Linked DNA regions of Alligator mississippiensis. The protein of the gene in region 1 interacts with the protein of each later gene in a biochemical or structural test. Links are inferred from orthologs where the notes say so. Each region holds a gene or a part of one and is shown in the gene's direction. Other genes may lie near its edges.

Region 1 (7,804 bases):
CTGGTTGCTGTCAGGCAGCAGCTGCAGGTGTTTGCTGCTTGCAGGATACTTAGTGAATCAAACAGTTCTCCGAGCTGTTTCTGTAGTGTCTATGTTCTACCTGACTTTTTTTTTTTTTGCCTGTGATCTTCAATGTTTAAGAGTCTTCACTGTGGGTGTAACTATATTAACTAGGTCACTACTATCCTAGAGTGCTTCCAGGGTTCTAATTTAGTGAAACTGCACTACTGAAGACCTCCAGAAACAGGCAAGTTCCTCTCCCAGGATTCCACTTAAACATATGGCTAAGATTTCTAGTACAATCTTGATTGACTTTGACTGACTATTATGTGGCCCATTTTTACTGTATCCTTTGCCACCTTTCTGGGGTATCATTGAGTCAGTGCCCCAGGCTGGTGCTGAAGGATCATTATGCTTTTCATGGTAAGGTGGACAGACTGACTACTAAAGGTCATTCATTTCTCCCAGCACTTCTTACAAGGTAAACAGACTTATATTCTAGCCATAATCTGTCACTGCTTATTACAGTCTGCTTCCTTAGGAGTGTCCCTTCAGGCTCAGTTAGAGGCATATTTGTTCATTTTTCTCTTATATTCTTTCAAATGGTGAACGTGAGTCAATAAATAGCTTCCATGTTTCACACCAGAAGCAACCATGTTTCAGTAATGGATGAAGTGAGTATTTAATAAAAAATCTGGGATTCTTTTTCTGTAAACCTTTGTCTATATAAGTTACAATTCTAGAAAAGGCGCAATTCATAAATGTGCTTTCTCATCGTACCTTTTTTTTTAATTTAGACTTCTCACTTGGTAAAACAACTTATCAGCTTCCTACACATGGAGATGCATATGGAGGGAACTCTACAATCTATGCCATGTTTTGTGGGTGTATTACCATAGCCCCCTGCACATTTAGAGATACTAGAGGACTCTGCTGTTATCTGCCTTTTCAGCTCTGAATTGCCCATGGCTGTATAGAATATGGATGAACAAGTGTTGCACAGCAAAGTCAACATAACTCTGATTTTCTTACCAGTTAGGCCTTTGGAGAAAAGACTCAGGAGTGTGCTGTCAAGATTGTCTCCACCTTGGCTAGCAACAGGTACTGAATATAAGACCACCAAAGCCAAAATCATCAATCTCTACAGCTTAAGCTAAATAGCTGAGTTGTTAAAGACTGGTATCCTCTGTGAAAGGACATAAAGGGGAAGCATGTATATACACTGACTAATGTGATACAATTACAGCAAGAGACTGGTAGTAAATACAGTAAAGTTTCTTCTCTTTCCATTCAATGGCTTGGGCTTTTTGTACAAATTTGAGCCTTCGCAGTCTCCCAGATCTTATAGCTTAAAGACATGCCAAAGACAAAGACAGCTCATGAGACCTCCAGATTTTCTCTGCAGGTACCCCAATACAATCATGCAATTATTAAATGTATTATGACAATATTTCCTGTTTAATTTCTATAAGATGTGCCAGTACACTAGTTATATTTTGTTCAATGAAGACATACTTCACCAGAAAAATGAATTAAAAACCCCCACCTTTCAGAAGATCTTAATTCTGAAAGAAACACAATCATTTTGGGACAAGGCATTACTGTCCAGAAACAATCAGGTGGGTGCTGTTTACCATTGAACATCAGAAATAGATTAAAGTAAAAACAAACAAGTTTTCCAGAAAGGTCCATTCCCTTCCCCATGGGAAAATAATCAATATACAATGAAGAGTGTTAAGGCCTCTTGTTTCTCCTTGTTTCTGTCTGTTTCACAGTATATCTTGTGGGGTTTTGTCCCAACCATTCTCAGATGACTCCAATGTCAAGACTCCCACCACTTCCATGAGGACATTATGCCAGTGATTTGTGTATCCCATGTTTAGAGGTCTTCTAAGTAGCCAAACACTTCCCAAGTATTTTAAATAGAAATGCCTGCCCCTCTCTTTCTTTTCTTCCTTGGCATGTTAGAAAAGGAGTCTGATGAATTTGTAGGACTGCATATGCATGCCTGTAGAAGCTAGTGAGGGAACACACCACTAAAGAAATGAGTCTGACATTTAATTCTGAGAGTGATGAGGCCTGTAGTTATTCCTATAACTCCTGGGGCCAGAACCTGTAAGAATTGGGTCCTTCATTCATAGATTTCATAGATTTTTAGGGCCCGAAGGGACCTCAGTAGATCATCGAGTCTGACCCTCTGCCCTGAGCAGGAAAGAGCACTGGGATCAGATGACCCCAGCCAGGTGCTTGTCCAGTCTCCTCTTAAAGGCCTTCAGAGTAGGGGAGAGCACCACCTACCTTGGAAGCCCATTCAGATTCTGGTAACCCTTACCATAAAGAAGTCCGTCTTGATGTCCAGCCTAAATCTGCTCCCTGTCACTTTGTGGCCATTGTTTCTAGATACCCCAAGGGGCACTCTGGTAAGTGAGCTTTTACTTCTTGTCACGTGGAATATAGCTGTAGAAGGACAGCATGGTCTCACTAAAGGAGAGCTACCTAGAGCACTTTGAATATTACAGTAGAGACCTTCAGCTAGACTTTGTCCACTAGGCAGTGACTGTAGAAAGCAGTGCATGGGAAAGATGTTCATAGAAGGTGGCCAAAGGGACAGACTTCAACTATCTCTGAATTTGAGGCTTTATGTCTAGACATGGCTTGCAATAGCCACACTTGAAGGTGAGGAACATATGGACCTATAGCCAGGTCTGTCTTATAGGATAGTCATTATTATCTGACCAGTCATAGGGGGAACACAGGAAGGTAGGACTGGAAAGGGCATCTTTAGCTGAGTTCAGTATCCAATGGATCAAATGTTGGGGTTATTTGCTAGCAAGCTATTTGATAACCAATAGTACCATGAAATCTGAAGGGAATGCACAGCTGAGGACACACATGACAACCCAAGGGAAGGTGAATTCCAACAGGGGGGATGCCACAGAGCTGACAAACTCTTTGTAGCACTCCCTTCTCCCTCCCAGGATGGTTGCATTCAAAATGGTTTCAGCTTTAGTTAGGCAGTAAGGAAGCTGAGAGACATTGCTGTTTATAGTTGACGTGAAGAGATGGAATTGGATATCATCTGGGTAATGGCGGCACTTCAAGCTACAGTATCTCATCAGCTCCATGTAGACATTGGATGTTGTAAGGTGGGGACTAGGCTCCAGAATGGAAGGCTTTGGAAACAGAGCATTAGTTCCCTGTGTCAGACTCTGGGTTTGGTCTCTGAGGAGAAATCTAAGGCATTTCATAGCTTTATCATCTATTCCTACAGCTACTTGGAACAGTGCAAAAGTGTTTTGTAACACTACCTACAAGCTCTAGAAAGAGGCTCAGAATAATGAGGCTGGAGGTATGGACCTGTCCACAGATAGAAAGATGTCATCTATGAAAGCGGCTAGGAGTGCCTTAGTCTGAAGTCAGAATGAGAGGAATCCAGGATGTCAACTGGCCTTAGAAAGTGGGGGGAGGGAAGTGTGAAGAACTGTTTCTTGTTGCTGCTGGCTTCTTGTGTTGTCCCTTAACCCACCCATCCTCATATGGATCTTGACTTTGAATACATGAATTGAAAGGGCTGGGATTTGGACACCTTCTCTTAACTGCATTTTCCAGACTACAGGTATGCCAGGAAGCCCCCTGGTGGCATCAGCAGTCTAACTTTGGATCAATCATTCACAAATTGTCACAGCTCTGCCATTCAGAGCCAAGGTGGACTCTGTCATATGGACAAAGTACAGGCAATTTTGTATAACTGTAAATTTTGCTGAGTCTGATTAGTCCTACTGGGGGCAAAGTCCAAACAGCTGGCCTCATCCCGTAATGCCAAAGGAAGAAATGCTTTATGAAGCAAGTCATGTTTGCAGCAACTAAAGAAACCAACCCTCTACTGCATGCACCCACTCAAGAACAAGAGACCACATCACAGATACCTAGGGGGATCATTTGACTTGCTACCAGCCTTGCCTGCTCCTTTTATGCCACATTCACCCGTGTATGTCTTTGTACTGATGCATATAGGTGTGGGCACATGCACACGCATGCATGCACACAGCTGACAAACACCCACACAGAGATGCATTTACATGAACGCATGTGCACAAACCTGCATGCATGGGCACACACAGACACTTTTTTTTTTTAATTCTCTATTCCTTTCTCCCGGTGTTTAAGTCAGGTGCGTTTCCTGAAGCCTGCAGCTCCCAGCCTGCCCTTCCAACTGGAGACTCGTGGTCCAGGTAGAGCACTTGATGGCACACCCCGTGGGCCGCAAGTCACGGGGTGAGCTGGGGGATGGCTGAGACAGGATCATCAGCTACGGCGACGCGCGCCAGCCTCTGGCCAAGTGCCCTCGTGCAAGGCGCGAAGACGCCGCCGTCCTGAGCAGGGCAGCGAGGGGAGGGGTCTCAGTCCCAGAGGGAGACCTCGGAGCGTGAGACCAGCGCTGGGGCGGTGCCAGGAAGAGGCGGGGCAGCCCGGGCTCACGTCAGCCCCGGGACAGGGAAAGCGCCCGTGCCGCGCTTTTCCCCTTTAAGGCCCCGGTTCGAACCCCTCTCACCCCAGCGGCCCCAGCTCAGCGTCCCCCAGCTCCCCGCTGATTGGCCCACGGCCCCCTTCCCTCCCCACTCCGACCGACGCAGCCTCTGTGATTGGGCCACTGTCAGAACGGTCTCCCAGTCACTCCGAAACCTCCCGGCTGCCCCGCCGCGGCCAATGGGGAGATGCTGTTTGCGTATCAATCCCGGGGTCGCGACCAATGGGGACGCGGCTGCCCGCGGCGTTGCGTATCGACGCGACGGGTGCAGCCAATCGGAGCGCGCGCACTCGGCTCGTGCTGCTTTCGCGGCAAAAAGGATTTGGCGCGCAAACGCGTGCGGGGCCGGGACCAGCTGGGAACAATAACAGTGGCCGGGCCGGGGCAGATGGTCTGGGTCGCCGCCGCGCTCGGGGCCTTGCCTGGTTGCGCCTCCTCGGGCTGAGTATGGGCCGCGGCGCCCTGCCGCTTCTCCCGGCCGTGGCCTTTGCCCGCCGCTGGCGGGGCTGTGCCGCCGTGCCCGCCAGGCCGCTGTGATCCCCGGGTGGACGCAGCGCCGGGAGCGGGCGAGGGGAGCAGCGCTGGGTCTTCCCCGTGAGCGCCCGGGGATGTGAGCCCGCGCCGGGCGGAGGATGTCTTTGGATGGCCTGGAGGTGGCCCGGGATGGCGGCAGCGCCTGCGTGGCCGAGCTGGAGGCGCTGCTGGGGGCAGCCGGGGGGCTCCGCGTGGTGGAGCAGCAGATCGTGATCATCTCCACCCCCGGCGAGCTGCCCGCGCCCGACGGAGACAGCGAGGCGGAGCTGCTGCTCTTCGCCACCCCGCAGGCTCCGCGGCCGGGACCCGCCGCGCAGAGGCCCGCCCTGGGGCGCCCGCCGGTAATGCCGCTTTCACTCCCTAGCCCCGCCGCGCGCTTGCCTCGGGCGCTCTCCGAGGCTGTGCCACGCGGCGCCTCTTGCACCTGAACGGGGAGCCTGCGGGCGAGGCTGCCGTGGGGCGGCTGGTCGGAACCCGCGCAGTCCAGCGGAAAGGCGGCGGCGAGCGGACCGGGCGTAGGATGCAGGGGAGCTCGGCCGGGGGCTGCCATAAGCCGCTTTCCCCGCGCGCTGGCCTCATTGCCCCTCGCTCAGGAGAGCGCCCTGGCGGCTTTGACTGACCTCCGGGGCTCCGCTCCTCGGGTGTTTTCCTACTGGGAGAGGTTGACTGTGTTGCACCGGCTGGGCCCCCATGGGCACCGCGCAGGGCAGTACGCTGTTAATACGTAGCTAGGTGATGTAGGCAGAGGCCCCGAGCAAGGCTGCCACACTTTGTTTTCTGGCTGTGTAACAGAGCTACCAAGTGGGCAGCACTGCATAAAGGAAGCCTGAAATGAAAGCAGCAGCTCATGCTGTCTTCAGATGCATTTCCAGTTTTGTTGATAACTGCTGTGAAGTAGTGAAGTGGAACAGGTTGCAGTGGAGGATGTGGAAGTTCTGGCCCTGATACATCTGCCTGTGAGGTAGATAACACATAAGGGAGTGATGTGCCTTGTACAGGAGGGAGGAATGCTGACTTTTGAAAACCTGGGAAAATAAGTAGCTGGGGAATGGAAAGCCTGAGAGAGTGGGGTCCTCACCATAGCAGAACTCCATTTAAGGCCAGGTCCCAGTAGTGCATTTTATTTGTGCCCCCAAGCCTCTCCATTGGTTCCCAGAGCTCAGTGAGTTCCTTGAGCTGCTATGACAAAAGTCTGCAACAGTATAAATGTAAAGGCTTCACTTCCTGCTGCAGGATATTAAGGCCACAGTCCTGCAGAAGTCTGTTGTCCCAGGGTGGGGTCTGTTTGCATGTGCTTATTTGCTCTCCCTGAGATGTAATGTTTTTTAAATCCTCAGGGTAAGATTTCTGGAACAGGGGTTCTCTCCTTCAGCATCAGCACCGGGGGACCTTCCCATTGTTTCTCCAAGCAAGCTCAGAAGCTACATGCAGTGCCCCTTTTTCCTCAGGGAGCCTCACTGAAAACAGTGGTTTGCCCATGCTTTTCCTAGCGCAAGATAAGAGACCACTGAAGTAAGGGAGATCACTGGAGTAGTCTTTTCTCCCTCTTTCTGGGGTCTTGACTTGTTTACAGGGCTTACTAGGTTGATTTAAAAGGCCAGCATCTCCAGCGAGATCAAGTGTAAAGCAAGGAGGGCTTGCAGTTCTGGTCCCGAGAGAGACAGATTGTGTGTGGAACGCACCTTTAATTGTACACTGCCAAGTCCATGATAAGGATCTTAAGCCCTTGTGCATCATTGGCCATGGATCCTGAGATGAGACTGGTCACTGTTCCAGTTTGGAATCCTTATGCTTTAATTCAGCAGAGGGGATAGGGAGCCAGGAGAAAGCTTTGCCCTTGAAACACACTATTCTGCAGCAGCCCATCCCTCTAGTCAGAGGGGCCTGCAGGGGGCAACAGCTTTATAGTTGATCCTTTTGGTTTAATTGTAGGCTGCTGTTTGGTTCAGAAATCCATAATAAGATATTGTTATTTGGGAGGGTTGGAAAACATGCAGTTACTGCTCCTCTGTGCTGTCATGCTTAGTGCTTGGGCTTGTGCTTCCTGTTGAGCCCGTGTTTGGGAGAATCCTCCCAAAGTGACCTGCTGTTCTCAGGTGCTCTTGAGAGGAGTTCCTCTCAAAGCCTCTCAGACTGCAGCCTGGTGCCTGTGGTCAGCAAAGCTCTTAACACACACGTGTATGAGCAGCAGGGTCCAAACTCCTTTTTCAAGCTCCTGGGAAGGGGGTGGTTCCTGCCTGTGTGTAGCTTAACCTGACAGTCAGATATCTGGAGGAGTATGAGCAATGCCAAGCTCATTCCTTGAACAGTCAAGTTGCTTCTTGTCATGTGTGTTTCTGAGACTTCATGCTGCAGGGAGGTGTCCAGCCCAGCCACAGTCATGCTTTTGGGGTGTTCCCACTGTTAACAGGCCTCCGTTACCATATTTCCCTCTTTCCCACCCACTTCCTTCATGATCCAGCTCATCTCTCACTAAAGAGAGGTAAGAAGCAGGTGCAGTAAAAATTCATGAGAAGTCTTGGCAAGTGCTCTTGAAACTCCAGTTTCTTGTGGTTGAACATTTGCCCCAGGCATTTTGCTGAAGCATCAGTGTGAAGCTTCTGCTTTGCCTGTTGACACAAACTTCCTGGGTGATCAAGTCAGGTGCTTGATTTGAGGTTGCTATGGCAAGGCTTTGATTCCCTGGCTGGTTCCTCGTTTGTGATGTATAGCCAACAAGATCAGAGCTTCATAGCTTGTCCT
Region 2 (7,353 bases), on another chromosome or scaffold:
GGTACTTTCTAAACCAGAAGCAGCATAGTTACAACCACACAATGTTAGGCCACTTATAGCCTATTCTGTAAGCACTTAAGCATATTCTTGACGTTACAATTACAACTAGTTCCAGTAAAGTCAAGAGAATTCCTCTCTATGTAAGTCTACACACATTTAATTTTTGCACAATTAGTGTCTCAGTTTGAATTTTCCCAAGGATTGAAATTTTTTGTATTGAAACGTTTAACAAATCTACACAAGATGGGATCTTGCATGTCATGAAAGTCTGCATAAAATATGTTAACATAGGGGTTCCTGATCATCTCAACCAAAAAAAAAGAGGACTGTACATCATAATTTTCTAGCCCTATCCTGCAGCATTGGTGACCTTTATGTGATCATTTCCTCTAGTCATTACAGTTCCCCCATATTATTTTCCCAACCATCTAACTTCTCTAAAGAACACAGAGCTCCAAGGATCCATTCTGACTGAAAGTAAAACTGCACACAGATGATGTCAGATACTGACATCATGTTTTCTATCTGTGAGACATACCAGGAATTCTCTGTTGGTGGCATTCACATTTTAAATGCTATTATGCCATTTTTTTAGAAAAGAAAAAGCTAAATCTACCTGGATCTGCTGATCTGTAACTCCAAGCTCCCAAATATCATCACAATTTAGATGTCTAGCTGCTCTAACTGCACCTACATAAAATTAAGACCCTTTTGCATTCTAGAGTATATGCACTGCAAAGAACCCAAGTCTGGCACTAGAAGCTTGGTGGATCCACCCAAATTTTGACCCAAGCCCCCAAAGCCAATGCCACCACACAGAGAATAAGTTTTGTAGCTTGTACTGCACTAAAGGATTCCAGACCCCAGTTATGCAAAAACCCATGAATCCCCCAAACAATGGGATGTAGCAAATCTAGCTAATATTTGCCTTTTTCCTATATTCCATACTACATATAGAAGAATACTGGATCCTGATGCATTCAGACACATGAACACTGCAAAATTCTGCATCTGGAATCTCCCTGCAGTCAGTCTGATGATTTTTGGCTTCAAGCTCCAAGTTACACAAACATGTAGGGCTGCTTCTGTTTCACTTGGGGAGAGGGGTGTGGGGATGTTGGAGGGGGGACCTGGACCCTCTTTTGGATACCAGTCCTATAGCACTAGAAAACACATATTTGGCAATAGAAGTCTGCCAATTTTTTAACTACAGCCTCTCAAATTCTATTGTCTAAATCAAGAAGAAGATATAGGAGTTCCTAATGAACTGCCAAATCCAGACTCTGTTGTAACAGTCAACATATGCATCTAAAATCCCAAACCTCAAAATGGTACCAGCTCAACAGGGAAGGATAGATGCTCTACTCTCACTCAAAAATTCAGATCCTGGTATATCCCTGTTCAATAGCACCACAAAGATACTCAGCATTCTTAGCCTGGTGAATCCTGCCCAAAGCCCCAAACTGTATAGTCAAAAAAGCACATTATCCTTTAGAAAAATGCTGGCTCTAATACACACCAGTGCAAAAGCAACTCAAGAATATGTACCTTGCACCTGGGTCCTGTTGGATTTGACCATTTTTGGCTACAAAGCACTTTTCAATTTCACTGCATAAATACAGATCAAGTACAGGCAGTCCTCGACCTACAGTGTTTCCAGTTACGTTTCACACTTACAATGCTTATAAATTGACACTGTTTCAACTTTCTGACATCAGTTTAGACTGTACAAAGCTTGATCCGATGCAATGCCATGCCAGTGAACACATTCACTGCATCACCCATCTCCCTGGAAAACATCTGTCCAAGCTTCCTTGGACACTTTCTTTAAGAAAGCAGCCAAGGCTCCAGAAAAACCTGCAGCCAAGACTCCTGAGAAGACTCCAGCCAAGAGCCCTCAAAAAGTCCAGCAAAGTCACCTCAAAGAAGTCCTTCCAAATCAATGTGATTGCTTATTACAATATAAATATGCTAATGTAGCTATATTACTCATCTATAATTGATTGAGTACAAAATTATGGGTTATTTTTGGTTAAAATAGGGTATCGGGCCTTGGTTCAGGAACCAATCCCCCATTTATAACATTATTTCCTATGGGAAAATCAGTTTCAAGTTACAACATTTTGACTTAAGATGAAGTTTTCAGGAACCAATTGTGTCATAAGTCGAAGGACTACCTGTATAGTCACTCCTGCAAAAAAAATCTGGCCCCTCATCACTCCTAGCACACAAACACTTGAAAAATCCAATTGCAGATCTAGGTCCAGCAAATCTAACTTGTATTATCACCATCATCACAAATTTTATCTTCTGGACAGATAACAAGTACAGCTATGCATGTGCATTGGATAAATCTGTAGGTAATGTGCTTAGATTTTTTCAACCTAAGGGATTTTTAGACCTGTATAACATTAGAAATTATTTACAATTAATGGAATTACAGTATGTAATTCCTTTACATTGTTTTGATTATCTCCATAAATTACTAACCCATCAAGTGTTTAAGCTAAATTACACAACCACTGGACCAGTTCCATTGCAAAATATACATACATAATATGACATTTGGAGGTACGGTATCTAGACAAAGTGATGTCAGATATAGGCTATTATGGTTTCACTGAAACACAACATGTGGGATACATATTGCATAACTACATTTTGCTATATTGATGCAACCTTTTTTCTCTATTTAGACAATTCTACTTTGATGAGGAGGGAGGGCTGAGGTTAAAAATTGGCAGTGTGAAACAGGATCCTAGAACCAGATATATGCTTTTCTAGTGGCATTAGGCCAGCAAGCATCAAAGCTTGAATTTTATTTCATTAATATGGGAGAAATGATGCTTGTTTTCTATTTAGATGTATAATCTAAACTATAATTTGGGCCCCCCAAAATTGCAAAGTTCCAACTGGATTCAATCCTGGAACCAAGTTTTTGCAGCACTGATCCATGGGGGTGCATCCAGGTCCATTGTTTTTAGTTGATTTTTTTCTGTTGTTGCACTGCAATAGTGGTAGCTACCTTTGTTTTCAGTTTAAGCCACAGAATATGTATTGGGGCCTGGATGAATGTGAGGATCCATATTCCAGATCCTGCTTTTTGCAGCCATCCCATACTGAGATGCAACGGTTCAAGGACTTTTGTTAGTGCAGTGAGACAGATTTATTTGTTCTTGAAACGCTATAAAGTTGGGTGTTTAGGGGCAACATTTGATGAGATTTAGTAGGTTTCAGTGCTCAGGCTCTGGGTTATGCTGGCACATAGATTTTCTGTGCCAGAAGTGACTAGTCTAGTTGTATAACGTAGGGTCTTTCTACATCCAGGTTTATTATTTTTGTGTCCTTTAGAGGTGCATGGGTTTGAGATGAAGACTGGACCCCAGAGTGTTCACCACCCCTGCATTTGTGCATCATGAGAGAGTGTCATTGCAAAGAATGAACACCACGGGGCCTTTCCTTACAGTCGCTTCTATAAGCGCTGCACCAAAAGGCAGCCAAAGGGGCCTTGTGTACACTGCAATTACTTGCAACTATTCCAGGCTTCATTAGGAACTGTCCCGGGGTTTGCTTTCACTCCCCAATGGCTCACACAGCTACAGATGGCTGCAGGTGACTGGAAATCAGAGAGCTGCTTCTCTGCACTGATGGTTAGGAAGGAGATAAAGGATACACAGCTGAGGGGACAGCAAAGCCACCGCCCTTGGACAGGGGGCTCCCAGGCGGTGGTTGGGACAGGATCCTGAAGGCACTGTGTACACAGGATCCTGTGTATACGTGTGCGGAATCACCACGTGTGTAATTAGTGTGTGAACACACATAATCAGCGTGCATGCATTTAGTCAGTGTGTACATACATGTAATCAGTGCCTGTATGCCCCAGTGTGCAATCAGTGTGTCATCTATGTGCCACCTGTGTAACCAGTGTGTGCATACATGTGTATAATTGCGGGGAGGTGTGCAATCAATGCCCCTGTGTGAGTGTATTATCAGTGTGTGTGTAATCTAGCCAGTGCGTCTACACCTATGTAACTCGTGTGCGTGCGATCCGTACGTGTGTGTAGTCTGTGTCCGCACCTGCGTAAGAAGGGCGTGTGCATCACCAGTGTGTAAGGTGTGTGTGCAATCAGCGCGTGCCCGCGGGGCTGTGCGTGCGGCGCGGCCCGGGGGCGGCTCCGGGCCCAGGACGCCAGGGCGGGCGGCGGGTGCGGGCCCGCGCCGCGGTTGCCAGGGCGGGCGGCGAGAGCGGCCCGGGCCGCGGTTCCAACTGGCCCGCACCAACAGACGCCGCCGGAGCATCGGCCAGCCCCGCGCCGCCCCCGCGCGCTCATTGGCCCCGGCTATATAGGCCGGGCGGGTCGGGTCGGGTCGGGCCGGGCCTGAAGGCGGGGCGCAGGTAATGCGGGGGCGCTGCCCGCTCACCCACCCATCCACCCACAGCGCCCCTTGTCCTTGCTCCCGCCAACAGTGGTGCTCCCTGTCTCCACTGCTTTGAGCCTACACAGATCAGGCTCAGATCCCAGGTGTTCATTCCCGCCGCTCCTCCCCCCCGTACTGATCTCAGCTGCTGGAGATCAAGGTGCAAGCTGTAGTCTATTTGGTTGGGGTAGTAAAAAGAGCATGGAGGAAGGCTGCTGCTTCTCCACTACAGTGTATGTGTGCATGCATAGGTGACTGGTAGGGGTCCATGTGTCCTCCCCAATGACCAATACTGATGCTGTCGGATGGGCTGGTGCCCCCCCCCCCCCCAGGGCTGCTGCCATTGGTGACTTCTGTGGGCGCCCCCCCCCAGATTCAGAAGGCACCAGTCGTGTGTGTGTGTGTGTGTGTGTGTGGGGGGGGGGGGGGACACAGGAGGGAGAGATACCAGGGAGATGATCAGTCTTGGAGGAACAACTAACCTGCTTTTCTCTTTCTTTCATGCTGTCTGTCTCTCTCCCCCCCAGCTCTCTGCTGCTGACTTGGAGGCCATGCGGTGCAGCGAGGACAAGGGTGGGGTCTCCCAAGTGGGGAACCGGGAGCCCCGCCAGGCTGCAGCTCCTTCCAGCCAGCCTGCCCTGCAGAGGGCTGTGCTTGGGTTGCTGACCGAGAATGGACAGTGCCTTCGAGCCTGTAGCCAGGTAACTCTTGGAGAGCTGCTGCTTACACTGGGGAGTGACCTGGTCTGACAAACTTTTTGGGTGCTGGTGCAGAGACAGTGTGAGCAGGGATGGTGCAGGTAGCTCAGCTGGGATGGTGCAGGGTAAGCCAGTTCTCAGGACTTCTGTGCTAGAGTTGGGGTGCTTCTGGGAAGGCTTGTTTCTCTTTGTGTCATGCACAAAGGGCCACTTCTGATGGGCAACTTCTGTCCTGTTGATGATCTCTAAACTTGGTTTAAAAAAAAAATGAAACCAATAAAACCTCACCCTGGTTCTGCAGACAAACCTGTAAAACTGAAGCATGTTGCTGTGATATTGATACACAGGTATCCCCTCTGTCTGTAGTACTCAAACTTCTCAAAGTCTTATCCCAACAAGACAGGTTTTTAGGTATCTAAAGTCCTAGGTACCTGGCTTGCTGATTCTTCTTCCCTTTAGCTAAAGTGGCTTCTGACTCCCAGCTCCCCTCAAAAGGGGCACAAGGTAACAACCCTCCCAAACAATGATATTGGGCATTTTCTTTTTAAACCCACAGCTTGGAAACATGTAATTTTGCAAGGCCTGGCTTTCACATTTTCAGATAAGCTTCTAGCTCATAGGAGTGGGGAAAGGAAAGAAGTGTTAAATGTGGCCTTGGCATAACCTAAAGGTGCAAACCAAAAAGTAAACCACCTGTTGGAGAGTCTTCAGTCATAAGCCAGTCTCTACTCGAAAGGAATATTTAGAATTAGCAGTATTGGGATTGACTTGGCTACTACATGCTATGCAGCATGGAGAGGAGACGGGTCAAGTGGCCATGAGGGGTGGGGGGCATTTGAAGGGCAGTGCTTCAGTTACTACCCAATAAGTAGGACTTCTCATGGTGGGAAAGAGGATGGCAGGGGCACTGCTGGCAAGCACTTAATATAGTGATGCTCTTCTTAACCTGCTCAATCTTTTTCCTGATAGGAAGGTCACTGAAGGGACTGTTAAGCAGCCTTTTTTAGATGCTAGAATGTGGGGTTTGGTGGAAATGCAGATGCTGCTGAACTGCCAACTACTGCTCTGTGCCTCCACGGTCATGTGGCTGCCTACAGGATTCCCATGTCGTGGCATGATGTTCCAGGAGCTAGAACTACTCCTGGGGGAAGCCTTTATTTTTGCCTTGGCCCCTCTTCCCTTGCTGATCTTATTACCTCTGGCACATCAGCTGGTCCTGAAACCTAAGGCTTGTAATACAAGTTAATGTGACTCTAGTACTGCACTGCAAAAATTGGCTAGAAATGCACTTTTCCTGTAATATGGTTACTATTCCTTTAGGGTGTCTGATAGCCACCTGACTGACAAAATAGTAAATGACTCTTACTTTCACTGACTACTACCTTTTTAGGTTTCACCTTGCATTGCGTGGTAAGAGTCATGCTCTGTGCCCTTCAAGCCTGTTCCTAAACAAAAAGATCCTTGTTTTCAGAAGTATGGAGAAACCACTGAAGCTAGTAGGCTTTCAGCATCACTTGTTTGAGTCTGTGTGCAGTTCTTGTTGGTATAGTCCACTAGCCTGTATTTATCCTAGCCATAGCTACAAACCCGATATGCCTGTTCATACTCCTGTTTACGTACAGTTGTGGGTTAAACTACAGTAGTCTATGCGGGGGAGGGGTCAGAGGAACAAAACAGAGTTACCACTTGTAATCTGCAGCATAATGTTATCTTATCCATGCAAACTGCTTCCCCCCCCCCCCCCAAAAAAAAAAATTCAGACAAAACGGTAAGCTTATTGGTAAAGCTGACAAATATTATTTCCTTTCCTTCCTTGTTATCTTAGTTTAATGCTTTCAAGAGTCCTAGGCTTCACTTTACAATTCGTATCTTTTAACTAACTAGCTTGAAATGTAGTATGAAACTTCAGTAACTCTCTGAGGCTGGTCCTCTTGCTGACATCTAATAGTCCCCTATGCTGCTTGTGCCGAAGACCAAACCTGGTATACAGTTAATACGCCATATGGCATAAAAGACTCGGCTTACAGCAAGAAGGCAATAAGTAGAACTTAAATACCAGTTGTTAATTGTAAGCTTTCTTCTCAGCTAACTTCTAGCTTTTTGATGCAAATAGTTTTCTCTAGTTGGTAACCTGCAGTGTTGTATAAAGTGGGAAGCTTTCTCTTAAAATGGGAATTGTTCTGTTCCCACCAATTCTCTCCCTACAGAATTACTCTCTACTCTGTTTCAGGGCACT

The links.
Region 2: the proteins of E2F1 (region 1) and CCNA1 form a complex in vitro, tested with the Homo sapiens proteins (2 studies listed by BioGRID). The link is inferred for Alligator mississippiensis from reciprocal best matches to the Homo sapiens genes E2F1 and CCNA1.

Annotation. Positions count from the first base shown.
Region 1 is NC_081832.1:27,212,039-27,219,842, forward strand, and holds the start of E2F1 (transcription factor E2F1), read left to right. Parts: upstream 1-4,793; 5' UTR 4,794-5,160; coding exon 5,161-5,403; intron 5,404-7,804. UniProt on the Homo sapiens protein: Transcription activator that binds DNA cooperatively with DP proteins through the E2 recognition site, 5'-TTTC[CG]CGC-3' found in the promoter region of a number of genes whose products are involved in cell cycle regulation or in DNA replication.
Region 2 is NC_081824.1:420,989,480-420,996,832, reverse strand, and holds the start of CCNA1 (cyclin-A1), read left to right. Parts: upstream 1-4,291; 5' UTR 4,292-4,396; intron 4,397-4,412; exon of another isoform or gene 4,413-4,579; intron 4,580-4,588; exon of another isoform or gene 4,589-4,677; intron 4,678-4,946; 5' UTR 4,947-4,970; coding exon 4,971-5,120; intron 5,121-7,347; coding exon 7,348-7,353. UniProt on the Homo sapiens protein: May be involved in the control of the cell cycle at the G1/S (start) and G2/M (mitosis) transitions. May primarily function in the control of the germline meiotic cell cycle and additionally in the control of mitotic cell cycle in some somatic cells.